Linked DNA regions of Caenorhabditis elegans. The protein of the gene in region 2 purifies or fractionates together with the protein of the main gene of each other region. This does not show direct contact. Each region holds a gene or a part of one and is shown on either strand. Other genes may lie near its edges.

The links. Proteins that work in one complex are often made in the same cells at the same time.
Region 1: the proteins of smrc-1 (region 2) and met-2 purify together in Caenorhabditis elegans (affinity purification with western blotting, with the first as the bait; one study listed by BioGRID). This does not show direct contact.

The regions. Positions count from the first base shown.
Region 1 is NC_003281.10:8,373,743-8,381,336, forward strand, and holds met-2 (Histone-lysine N-methyltransferase met-2), read left to right. Parts: upstream 1-1,557; coding exon 1,558-1,653; intron 1,654-1,722; coding exon 1,723-2,010; intron 2,011-2,057; coding exon 2,058-2,722; intron 2,723-2,790; coding exon 2,791-3,287; intron 3,288-3,790; coding exon 3,791-4,404; intron 4,405-4,704; coding exon 4,705-5,573; intron 5,574-5,624; coding exon 5,625-5,760; intron 5,761-5,808; coding exon 5,809-6,335; intron 6,336-6,667; coding exon 6,668-6,890; 3' UTR 6,891-7,121; downstream 7,122-7,594. Other genes in the region: lmbr-1 (LIMR family protein R05D3.2), read left to right, coding at 1-41, 95-473, 525-898, 946-1,033; R05D3.12 (Putative DNA topoisomerase 2, mitochondrial), read left to right, coding at 7,215-7,338, 7,386-7,594. UniProt on the Caenorhabditis elegans protein: Histone methyltransferase which is required for the mono- and dimethylation of 'Lys-9' of histone H3. This increases the efficiency of set-25-mediated trimethylation of histone H3 'Lys-9'.
Region 2 is NC_003281.10:6,389,379-6,394,354, forward strand, and holds smrc-1 (SWI/SNF-related matrix-associated actin-dependent regulator of chromatin subfamily A-like protein 1 homolog), read left to right. Parts: upstream 1-1,565; 5' UTR 1,566-1,570; coding exon 1,571-1,660; intron 1,661-2,025; coding exon 2,026-2,121; intron 2,122-2,160; coding exon 2,161-2,313; intron 2,314-2,376; coding exon 2,377-2,756; intron 2,757-2,807; coding exon 2,808-3,258; intron 3,259-3,304; coding exon 3,305-3,502; intron 3,503-3,547; coding exon 3,548-4,048; intron 4,049-4,093; coding exon 4,094-4,297; 3' UTR 4,298-4,461; downstream 4,462-4,976. Other genes in the region: C16A3.2 (protein-tyrosine-phosphatase), read left to right, coding at 455-667, 723-885, 931-1,109, 1,161-1,271. UniProt on the Caenorhabditis elegans protein: ATP-dependent annealing helicase that catalyzes the rewinding of the stably unwound DNA.

The sequences.
Region 1 (7,594 bases), 2.0 Mb from region 2:
CCTCCAAGGAGCTCATTTTCGGCAAATTATTATTCTTCAAGGTATTTAATTTTTGTATGTTTTAAACAGTTTTATTTAACAATGTTGATTTAAGATTTTCTCGCTGGAAACACAATTCCGAAACTGGCCTCAATCCATCCTCATCACTTCTTGTGGATCCTTTTGCTTCTGGAGATTTCCATGAAGCATCTTCGTCTGAGGCATCATCAACACCATTATCACCTGCTCGTCGCACCAAATCCGAGGAAGCCATCTGGAAGCCAGTTCTTCACACAGTAAAATCCTCGAAATTATACAAAAGAGCAATTGAGAAGCAGGGGCGACTTGTGAAACTTTTCATGAGTCTTCGATTCCCAGTAGCGGCCGCTGCTTTGTTAGTTTTGACGACATGCTCTCTAATCATGGTGGCTACAAATACCTTGAAATTGTTATTCGGGTATCGCAGTTTACCTGTCTATGCTCAATACATTGAGGTAAGCTTCGGAGATTTTAAATATAATTTCTAAAAGTACATAATTTTTCAGGTACACACTCGTCATTCATTCGGACTTTTTGGGGCTTGCATCGAAACTCTTCTCATTATTTACGTGATGATCACATCTTTCGTTGGGCTGTACTCCCTTCCGGTTCTTCGTTCTCTTCGACCTGTTCGAAAAGATACTCCAATGCCAACGATAATTATTAATTCTTCAATAGTTCTTGTTGTTGCATCCGCTCTCCCAGTAGCTGTTAACACAGTTGGAATGACAACTTTTGATCTTCTCGGCTCCCACTCATCGCTCCAATGGCTTGGATCATTTCGAGTCGTTGTTGCCTATAATACTCTATTCGTCGTGTTGTCTGTCGCATTTCTCTTCAATCAATTGACTGCTTCAATGAGAAGGCAAATCTGGAAGTGGTAAGCTGTGCAATTTAAAGTTTAAATTCTTATTAATTTTTTTGCAGGATATGTCAACTACGATGTGGAATCAGACGGGAGAGTGATGCGGATGAAACCATTGAGATCCTTAGAGGCGATAAGAAAAGCAATTGAATTTCTTTCCTTTTTCAACACTTCTTACCCATGTTCATCATTTTAATCTTTTCATTACAAAAACAAGGTCCTATTTTTTTTCTCGGGTACTACTCGCCTTTTCTAATAATTCAGAATCATCAATTTTTGCCAACCTCTAGCTTTACATGTCTGTTTTTCATCATTTTCTCTCAAGCATTCTCCTAATATATTATGTTCCCTAGTATTTCCCCTCAGTCAGCAATTTTCTCGTCGTCGAAACCGTTTAGCTTTACTTTCAATCAAAACGTGGAACATTTTTCAAACTATTTGAAGCCAAAAAAAACCAGGGCTTTTGTATATGTACCATATTTTCCCTCTGATTTTCTTTATCGCCTTCTCTTTTCATGTAGAATAACTGAAATACAAACCATTTTAATTTTTTCTTTTAATTATCAATACTGTCCGTATAGGTAAAAATTATTTCTTCAGGTTTGAAAAAATCCGAAATATGTATCTGCAACTCTTCAGGGCATTGCCTCAATTAATTTTTATCTAATATTCAGATGGACCAACAAGAACCATCGAATAACGTAGATACGAGCAGTATTCTTTCGGATGATGGGATGGAAACACAGGAACAAAGTTCATTCGTCACTGCTGTGAGTGAAATTATTTAAAATTTCGCTTCGGAGATTCATTGTCATATAATTCAATTTATCGATTTTCAGACAATTGACCTAACAGTGGACGACTACGATGAAACAGAAATACAGGAGATTCTGGATAATGGAAAAGCAGAAGAAGGAACAGATGAAGATTCTGATTTAGTTGAAGGGATTCTTAACGCTAATTCAGATGTCCAAGCGCTCCTTGATGCGCCATCTGAGCAAGTAGCTCAAGCTCTTAATTCGTTCTTCGGAAATGAGAGTGAACAAGAAGCTGTTGCAGCACAAAGACGGGTTGATGCGGAGAAGACTGCCAAAGATGAAGCTGAACTCAAGCAACAGGAAGAGGCGGTTAGATTGCAATAAAGGAAACAATAATAAAATTATTTTATTTTCAGGAAGATCTTATTATAGAAGATTCGATAGTCAAAACTGATGAAGAAAAACAAGCAGTTCGAAGACTGAAAATCAACGAATTTTTATCGTGGTTCACAAGGCTCCTTCCAGAACAATTTAAAAATTTCGAATTCACAAATCCGAACTATCTGACAGAATCTATCAGCGATTCACCGGTTGTAAATGTCGATAAATGCAAGGAAATTGTCAAATCGTTCAAGGAAAGTGAATCACTTGAGGGACTTTCACAGAAATACGAATTAATTGATGAAGACGTGCTAGTCGCTGCTATTTGTATTGGCGTTCTCGATACCAACAACGAAGAAGATGTCGACTTTAATGTTCTATGTGATGATCGTATCGACGATTGGAGTATAGAAAAATGTGTCACTTTTCTTGATTATCCAAATACTGGATTGAATTCGAAAAATGGACCGTTGAGATTCATGCAGTTTACTGTCACATCACCTGCATCAGCAATTCTCATGCTCACTCTGATTCGATTACGCGAAGAAGGGCATCCGTGTCGATTAGATTTTGATTCAAATCCGACTGATGATTTACTCTTGAATTTCGATCAAGTGGAATTTTCTAATAATATCATTGATACGGCAGTCAAATACTGGGATGATCAGAAGGAAAACGGTGCGCAGGATAAAATTGGCAGGCGAGTATTAATCAAACTCACAACTGTTTTGAAAGTATTTTCATAATTATCACTTAAATACCTTTTAGAGAGCTCAACGACTTCTTCCACGAAATCGAGTCAACATCAGCAGAATTCAAACAACATTTTGAGAACGCCGTTGGCAGCCGTAATGAAATAATTCAACTTGTCAACGAGAAAATTCCCGATTTTGATGGCACTGAGGCTGCTGTGAATGAGAGTTTTACATCCGATCAACGAACCGAAATTATCAACTCTCGTGCAATAATGGAGACATTAAAAGCCGAGATGAAGCTCGCCATCGCCGAAGCTCAGAAAGTTTACGACACCAAGACTGACTTCGAAAAATTCTTCGTTTTGACAGTTGGAGATTTCTGTCTGGCTCGCGCCAATCCTTCTGACGATGCAGAATTAACATACGCCATAGTTCAGGATCGTGTGGATGCAATGACCTATAAGGTTAAATTTATCGACACAAGTCAGATCAGAGAGTGTAACATCAGAGATTTAGCCATGACTACGCAGGGAATGTATGACCCGAGTTTGAATACATTTGGTGATGTTGGTGAGTTTTAAGTTAAAATTGATATTTAATATTACATCTGTTATGTAGAATAAGGGTTTCGGTTTTTCGATTTTATTAGAAAATCGAAAATTTTAGTTTTTGTGTTAAATTTAAAAAAATCAAAATTTGATTCACTATCAAGTCCGTTTTTCTCTTCTCAAAATTGACAAAATTTTGATAATCTAGAATTTTCGTCCCGTATATTTTTCAACGAAAAACCATTTAAAATTTTCCATGATTGGATTTTCGGTTGATCTAGAAAAAAATGGTGCTAAACACTAAATTTGAAAAAGTTTGAAACAAATTCAAATCCAAATATTTCATGAAAAACTTGTAAAATATATTATGTACACAAAAAAACGTTTCAAGTGTAGCAGTTGTTTTTTGTGGTCCCAAAAAAGCAGATGTTTGTCAGAATCCATTAAACAACAAAAAAATCCAAAAACTCAACCTGGCCTAGATATCAGTTTCATGATCGAAGTATCTAAAATCATTGTTTTCAGGTCTTCGAGTTGCCTGTCGCCAAGTTATTTCCTCGAGCCAATTTGGAAAAAAAACAATTTGGCTTACCGGTACAGCTGCCGGACGTCGCAGAGCTCATAGATCCGATTTTCTAATTTTCTTCGACAACGGAACCGATGCATACGTGTCAGCTCCGACAATGCCTGGTGAACCAGGTTATGAAGTTGCTTCTGAAAAGAAAAGTGTATTTTCTCTCAAAGAAATGATTGCGAAGATGAATGCTGCTCAGATTGCTATTATGGTTGGACAGCCAGTAGGAAAGGAAGGAAATCTGGATTATTTTTTGACATTTCATTGGATTCGACAATCTCACAGATCAGCGTATATTCGGGATTTTATGAAAGAATTTCCGGAATGGCCACTTCTCAAGATGCCAGTTGGAATGCGAATCTGTTTGTACAATTCTCTTGTTGATCGACGTAAGAAAATGGTGACAGTGATTGGAACTGATCGAGCTTTTGCTATTGTGAGACACGAAGCACCGAATCCATTGGCTCCTGGGAATAGATGTACAGACTTTCCGTGCAATGATAGAAATCATCAGCATATTGACGAGAAAATCTATAGAGGATCTCATAGATTGGAAGGCGCAGCGGTAAGATTTTATTTGAAAAATTGATACAAAACGAGGATTTTCTAAAATTATTTTATTTTTATTTGATTTGATTTCTTATAATTGATAATCAAGGTTTTTTGGATGTTTTGTTAGAGAAATCGAAAAGGGAAACTTCCAAAAAAAAGCTGTGAAATCAATTTTTGCTTTTAATAATATCCAAGTTTCATCTTCAAAGTTTTTTCTATAAAATGGACACAAACTTTTCAACGTTTTCAAAAAAAAGGTTCCGAAAATATGAAAAAAGGAGAAAGAAATCATGAAAATTTTGTATTATTTCAGCACAAGAAGCACATGATCTCGACAAATAACAATCTGTCGCAACGCAGAAAAGACCAGCTTCAATCACAGTTCGAGCCAACCGACATGATTCGTTCGATGCCAGAGAGGAATCACCAACAAGTCGTTAAAAAGAAAACGACGGGCACCAATCAGAATGTCGCTTCGACAAATGATGCAAAATCGAAGAGAGAAATTGAAATAAGAAAGAAAAATCAATTCTTATTTAACAAGATTATTGTTCCAATACCCGTCCTAACACCATTGGAAAATCTCAAGGCTCATGCTCAATGTGGTCCAGATTGTCTACAGAAAATGGATGCGGATCCGTATGAAGCAAGATTCCATCGAAATTCACCAATACATACTCCTCTTTTGTGTGGTTGGAGACGAATTATGTACACAATGAGTACTGGAAAGAAGCGGGGAGCAGTGAAGAAAAACATTATTTACTTTTCTCCATGCGGAGCCGCTCTTCACCAGATCAGCGACGTCTCTGAATATATTCATGTCACCAGAAGTTTATTGACGATTGATTGTTTTTCATTTGATGCACGAATCGATACTGCCACTTATATTACTGTTGACGATAAATATTTGAAGGTTGCTGATTTTTCGCTTGGAACCGAAGGAATCCCAATTCCACTAGTGAACAGCGTGGATAACGATGAGCCTCCATCATTGGAATATTCGAAACGACGATTCCAATACAATGATCAAGTGGATATATCGAGTGTTAGCCGAGATTTCTGTTCTGGATGCTCTTGTGATGGTGATTGCAGTGACGCATCGAAGTGTGAATGCCAACAATTGTCCATTGAAGCAATGAAACGACTCCCCCATAATTTACAATTCGACGGACACGACGAATTGTATGAGAGTTCAGAAAAACAAAATAAATTTTTAAAACTATTTTTTTTCAGAGTTCCTCACTATCAAAATCGTCTTCTCAGCAGTAAGGTTATCAGTGGACTCTATGAATGCAACGATCAGTGTTCATGCCATCGAAAGTCTTGTTACAACAGAGTTGTTCAGAACAATATCAAGTATCCTATGCATGTGAGTTTATTTAACGATGATACATACCAATTATTGTTTTTTCTTCAGATCTTCAAAACTGCTCAATCCGGATGGGGAGTCCGAGCTTTGACGGATATTCCTCAAAGTACGTTCATTTGCACGTATGTAGGTGCTATACTGACGGATGATTTGGCTGATGAACTAAGAAATGCGGATCAATACTTCGCTGATTTGGACTTGAAGGATACCGTGGAGCTGGAAAAGGGTCGCGAAGATCATGAAACTGATTTTGGTTACGGAGGAGACGAGTCAGATTATGATGACGAAGAAGGAAGTGATGGTGACTCCGGTGATGATGTAATGAACAAAATGGTGAAACGTCAAGACTCTTCGGAGAGTGGTGAAGAAACAAAACGGCTGACAAGACAGAAAAGAAAGCAATCTAAAAAATCCGGTAAAGGAGGAAGTGTGGAGAAAGATGACACCACTCCAAGAGATTCAATGGAAAAGGATAATATTGAAAGTAAAGACGAACCCGTTTTCAATTGGGATAAGTATTTTGAGCCGTTTCCATTGTATGTTATAGATGCAAAACAGAGAGGAAATCTTGGAAGGTAAGATCACAATTTTATTCATTAAAAAAATTTTTTAGAGATTTTGCTTTAAATGATAAAAAATGGACAAACCAACCGTTTGCCTCTTCTTTTGGTTTATCAACCTTTCTCTATGGAAAAAATTCTGAAAAATTAACAAACAGTATTTCACGTTGAAAAGTGAAGAAAAAAGCAAAAAAAGGAAACAAATTTCAAAACGGTTCTACTCCATCTTAAAAAAACTAAAATTCGTAAAAAGTCATTTGGTATGTTTTGGAGACTATAATACAATTGAGAAAATTTGAAAAACCGGCACTCCAAAGATACAATCATAAATTTTCGATAACTTTCAGATTCTTGAATCACTCTTGCGATCCGAATGTGCACGTTCAACACGTCATGTACGATACGCATGATCTTCGTCTTCCATGGGTCGCGTTTTTCACACGAAAATACGTGAAAGCCGGCGATGAGCTAACCTGGGACTATCAATATACTCAAGATCAGACGGCTACCACACAACTCACATGCCACTGCGGAGCTGAAAACTGCACCGGCCGTTTGCTGAAAAGTTAAAGAATTGTTGTTATTTCCTTCCCAGTTATGTTTTCCTTTTTTTTTAAGTATTTATTTATTTATTTAATTTTTATTTTGTTTATTGTTCAATCGTTTAAAATCTCCCTTTGAAAACAGCATCTCATATGTATGATCTAAACACGTATTTACCTCGTAAGGGTTTGCCAAATAGTTTCTTTGGTTTTCATTTTGATTTTCTCTGCGAATAAAATGTTTTAAAAAAGACATTATATTTTTTAATAGTCAGTACAGTTTTGATGTCTCCAATCTATTTCAGTTTACAATTTTAAAATATAGAATATATATATTTAGGTTTCATAAGTTATGCATCGATTACGGGTTCTACGTCACTTGAAGTTCTGCATTTCCACGTCACATAGGACTACTGTAGTTTTAAAAAATACTCGTTCATTTTGTAATAATATTCCTTCTACTAGTTTTGCTTCTGGTAATAATCGAATTTCAAAACTTTAGCTAAAATATTTCTTTTTGAAGAGGCTGCAGCAAAATATGAAAAGAAAAGTCCAACTGAACATGTATTACTTCGACCCGATACATATATTGGAGGTGTCGCCATGCGAGAAGATCAAATTATTTGGCTCAGAGACTCAGAAAATAGAAAAATGATTGCAAAAGAAGTCACTTATCCACCTGGATTATTGAAGATTTTCGATGAGATTCTAGTGAATGCGGCTGATAATAAA
Region 2 (4,976 bases):
TTTCAGATAAATCAATAAAACTGAAAATTTAAGACTAATGCTCTCGATGAGACTGTTTAAAATCAGATGAAAACATATTTGAAAATTATTCCTTAGAACAGAATCGTGTGCGCCTTTAAAGAGTACTGTAGTTTCAAACTTTTGTTTTGTCAAACCGGCATAGTTTTTGATTTAAAAAATACATGTTTCATTAAATTATTAAAAAATCTCAAACAAAAATATAAACATAAATTTTGAAAAGTCGTGAGAAAATCTATGAAAAAATAAATGAAAATTCGGGAAAAACGAGTTTTGAACGTTACAGTAATCTTTATGTGCACATACCTTTTCTCATTTAACGAAATTTGTCGTGTCGAGACCGGGCACCGTATTTTTGGCGCGAAATTCTGCGTCTGGATCATAATCTTGACATTACAGTGTAACACGACAAACGTTCTTTCATTTATATTTCCAGATGTCCGAAGCTGAAACGGGGGAACCTAATGGATTCAGAAGTTGTTACGACAAACTTCGGAAAGCTGTTGGAAACATCCCAATGGATGCATCAAAATCCACAAAACTTCACAATTTGTCAAGTAGGAAGATTTCAGAGATTCTGCCAAATCTCTACTTATCCGGGAGAACTGTGTCTCAGAACAGCGAACTTTTGAAGGAGAAAAATATTACGGTAAATATATTTTTTTAATGAAAAAAGTGTAACAATTAAAGTAATATGCTTCCAGACAGTGATCAATGTATCAGATCGGGAAGTTGTTAACTACAAGAATAATCAAAAGTTCATCAAAAACTACCGATTCTATGCAATGTCCGACACAGCAAGTGCGAAGTTTGATGGAATTATTGAAGAAGCAGTTCGAATAATTCACGATTCAAGATCTAAAGAAGGTAGGATACATTTTATCTTCAAATGTATATTTCCCCAAATTCCAGAAGGTGTTCTCGTTCATTGCTTCCTCGGTGTCTCCAGAAGTGCAACTTTAGTCGCATTCTACCTGATATCAGCTCTCTCCATCAACTGGCGGGACGCAGTTGACTTCATTCATCATAGAAGATTCTCTGCAAACCCGAATTTTGGATTTTTACATCAGTTGAAAGTCTACTCAACAACGGTAGGGAAAATTGAATGATAATTGGAAATTTCTATAAAAATGGATTTTCAGAAAGCTAAAGAATTTCGAAATCAACTAATCAGCGAACGATGTCTCAGAATGCGAGAATCTGATAAGGATATTATCAAAAAGTATTTACCACTTGCAGTGTTTGAGCTTTGAATTTCTTCTAATTCTTCATTCCCATATTTGTATTTTATTGCTTCTTTACCTACAAATGTACAATACAACGACCTCTGATCTTTGGTGCTTTCTTCCATTTTCCCTGATCTTCATGTACAATTCTTCTTGCCATTTCCTTGTACTTATTGCCACTTTCAAAGTTTAATAATTAATTAAAGTTTTTTTTTTTGCTTTCTTCTCTTCTACGAGTGATTCTATCAGAGTTGTGTGTTTCTATGTTGTGACTTATCTTGAGTTTGCTGTGATTTGTTTCTAACTTTTAAGTTGATATTCAGAATATGGTGCTCACTGATGAGCAACGACAGGCGATTGCCAAGAAACGAGAAGAGGCGATCAGGCGAGCTGCAGCATACAGGGAAAGAGAAATGGTAGTTTTTGGATTGTCAGGGTTTTTTGAAGCTACAGTATCCGCGACTATTTCACCATTTTTTCAAATTTTTTTCTACTCGGATTTTCATTCCTTTTATTAAAGAAACATACTGGATTATCATCACGTACACGCTAAACTTCATGTGAAAATACATAGAAAAAGTATAGTATTACGTGTTTATCCACAGATAATAAACACGTAATACCGTAATCGCGGTTACTGTAGCTGTAAAAGTACATTCATGGCAGACACACCCTTTCGCAATCAAGTAATAACTCAATTAATTCACATCATGTTTAATCTACAAATATGCCCTTTTCAAATGTAAATTATATTTTTAATACTGAAATTTATTAATTTCAGCAGGCTGCCGCCAACGCCACAGCTTCCACGTCATCTGCTGCACCACCAGCTCCTCCTAAACCAGTTATTCCCGTTATGTTCTCACAAAATCGACAGGTTTTTAAAAAATGAGTTTTGAATTGACAAAAAGTTTAGAATTTCCAGCCAATGAAGCCGACTATGAACAATAGCACAAAACAATCGACTATAAACAACTACATCAAACAAGTTCAGAAGCCAGAACCGACAAGTTTGATTAAACCGACGATTGGGGTGAAACTCAAGTTGGATATTGGTGATAGAATTAAGGTAATAAAATTTAAAAATTTGTAGTTTAACATATATTTAACATATATAAACATATATTTTAAGATTGAATTCTATCCATTTCATTCGGCAGTAATCGATCTCATCAAACAAGTTCCAAGTCGAAATTACGATCCCGCTAAGAGATCCTGGACAGTAGCTTCTTCCGATCACATCACCATCAGTAATATTTTAAAGAATGCAACAGCAGTGAAGGTGGAACTCGAACCTCTTCCTCAGAATATTATAGGATTAACGAACTTCAAACCAAAAGCAGCGCCTAGTGATTTGAATACAGTTATGGATCCATCACTTATCGAAAGACTCTTTCCTTATCAGAAGGAAGGTGTGATATTTGCATTGGAAAGAGATGGAAGGATCCTATTAGCTGATGAAATGGGATTAGGAAAGTCGGTTCAAGCATTGACAATTGCAAGATACTACAAGTATGATCCGATGATAGTTTAATCTCTTAAGATCGTAATAAATAATTTCAGAGCCGACTGGCCTCTCCTCATTGTGTGTCCAGCCTCTGTCAAAGGTGCCTGGAAGAAGCAGCTCAACACTTTCTTCCCAATAATTCATCGAATTTTCATCGTCGACAAATCCTCCGATCCTTTGCCAGATGTTTGTACTTCCAACACAGTCGCGATTATGAGCTACGAGCAAATGGTTTTGAAACATGATATACTTAAAAAGGAAAAGTATAGAACAATTATTTTCGATGAATCTCACATGCTGAAAGACGGAAAAGCACGACGAACGAAGGTGGCAACTGATCTTTCAAAAGTGGCACTTCATGTGATCCTACTCTCTGGAACTCCTGCATTATCACGTCCGTCCGAGTTATTCACACAGATCAGATTGATCGATCACAAGTTATTCACCAATTTTCATGAATTTGCGATACGATATTGTGACGGAAAACAAGGAAGATTTTGCTTTGAGGTACTGTGGATCGTTTTTTTTAAATTTAAATAACTATCTTTTTAAGGCAAAAGGATGTACAAACAGCGAAGAGCTCGCCGCAATCATGTTTAAAAGATTGATGATCAGACGTCTAAAGGCTGATGTCTTGAAAGATCTTCCTGAAAAACGTCGTGAAGTTGTCTATGTGTCAGGACCTACAATTGATGCTAGAATGGATGATTTGCAGAAGGCTCGGGCTGATTACGAAAAAGTCAATTCAATGGTAATTTTCAATATTTTAAAATATTGTTTTAAAAAATTGCTTCAGGAGCGAAAACATGAGTCTCTTCTCGAGTTCTACAGTCTTACTGGTATTGTCAAAGCTGCTGCAGTCTGTGAGCACATTCTCGAAAACTACTTCTATCCAGATGCTCCACCACGGAAAGTGCTCATCTTCGCACATCATCAAATCGTTCTTGACACTATTCAAGTGGAAGTGAACAAACGAAAACTTGGATCAATTCGAATCGATGGAAAGACTCCATCACATCGAAGAACGGCTCTTTGTGACTCATTCCAGACTGATGATAACATTCGTGTCGCGGTTCTTTCGATCACTGCAGCAGGTGTTGGAATCACTTTGACCGCCGCATCGGTCGTCGTGTTCGCTGAAATTCACTTCAATCCAGGATACCTCGTGCAGGCCGAGGATCGGGCTCATCGAGTCGGACAGAAGGATAGTGTCTTCGTGCAATATTTGATCGCAAAGAAAACTGCTGATGATGTCATGTGGAATATGGTTCAGCAGAAATTAGATGTGTTGGGACAGGTAGTGCAATTAATTGTCTATATATTTTTTTGCGTCTAATTTCAGGTCAGCCTGTCAAGTGACACATTCCGTACTGCTGACAAAATGCATCTCCGTTTCAATGATGCCGCGCAGCCTGGCATCGCAGAATATCTCAAAAAGACTCCAGATACAACGATTGATGAATGGGAAGATCCTGTAGAGGAAAAAGAGGATGATGACTTGGAAATCATCTGTGATTCTCCAGCTCCTAAACGTATCAAAAATTGAATATCAGCTCTTTATCCAGGATTCAGACACATTTGTGAAATTCCATGTTTCCAATGATTTCATATTTTACGCTCTCATTTTATAAATCTCAATTTAACTTCTTTTTACGGTTCACAGTGTATTATTCAATATCTCAACTTGTTTTTATATAAAAATTATTTCTTTAAATTGTACAAAGTGTGTGGCACGATTTTCGGCATACTAGAGCAGATATGACACATTGAGCGGGAAATGATCCGAGGCGACGTCGGAATAATTGGAGTAAATATAGAATAAATATTATAAATAGAAACAACTAATAATTTAGAAATGAGGCAGAATTGTAGAGGAACATCTCCGAAGAGAAGATAATTCTGAATTTCTACCAACACCTTTGCTTCTTTTAAATTGAATTATTCGGTTGGTGGAGACAGGTACCTTATCAGGATAATATAGAGATAAGAGATGCTTGAGAGAAAATAAGACTTAAAAAAAACATGGAGACCTGTTCCGTCGATGGTGTTCCAATTCTCTCAACGATAAGATTAAACTTTTGAACTATTTTTGCAAAGATAGAAATCAAAAACCATGAAGCTTTATTAGAGCTCAAAATTTGCGATACGCAAAAAAAGAAAATGTCATCGAATGCTATAAAAATTACCAGCATCTGGATCGTGAGAACAATACGGGACGAGTACGA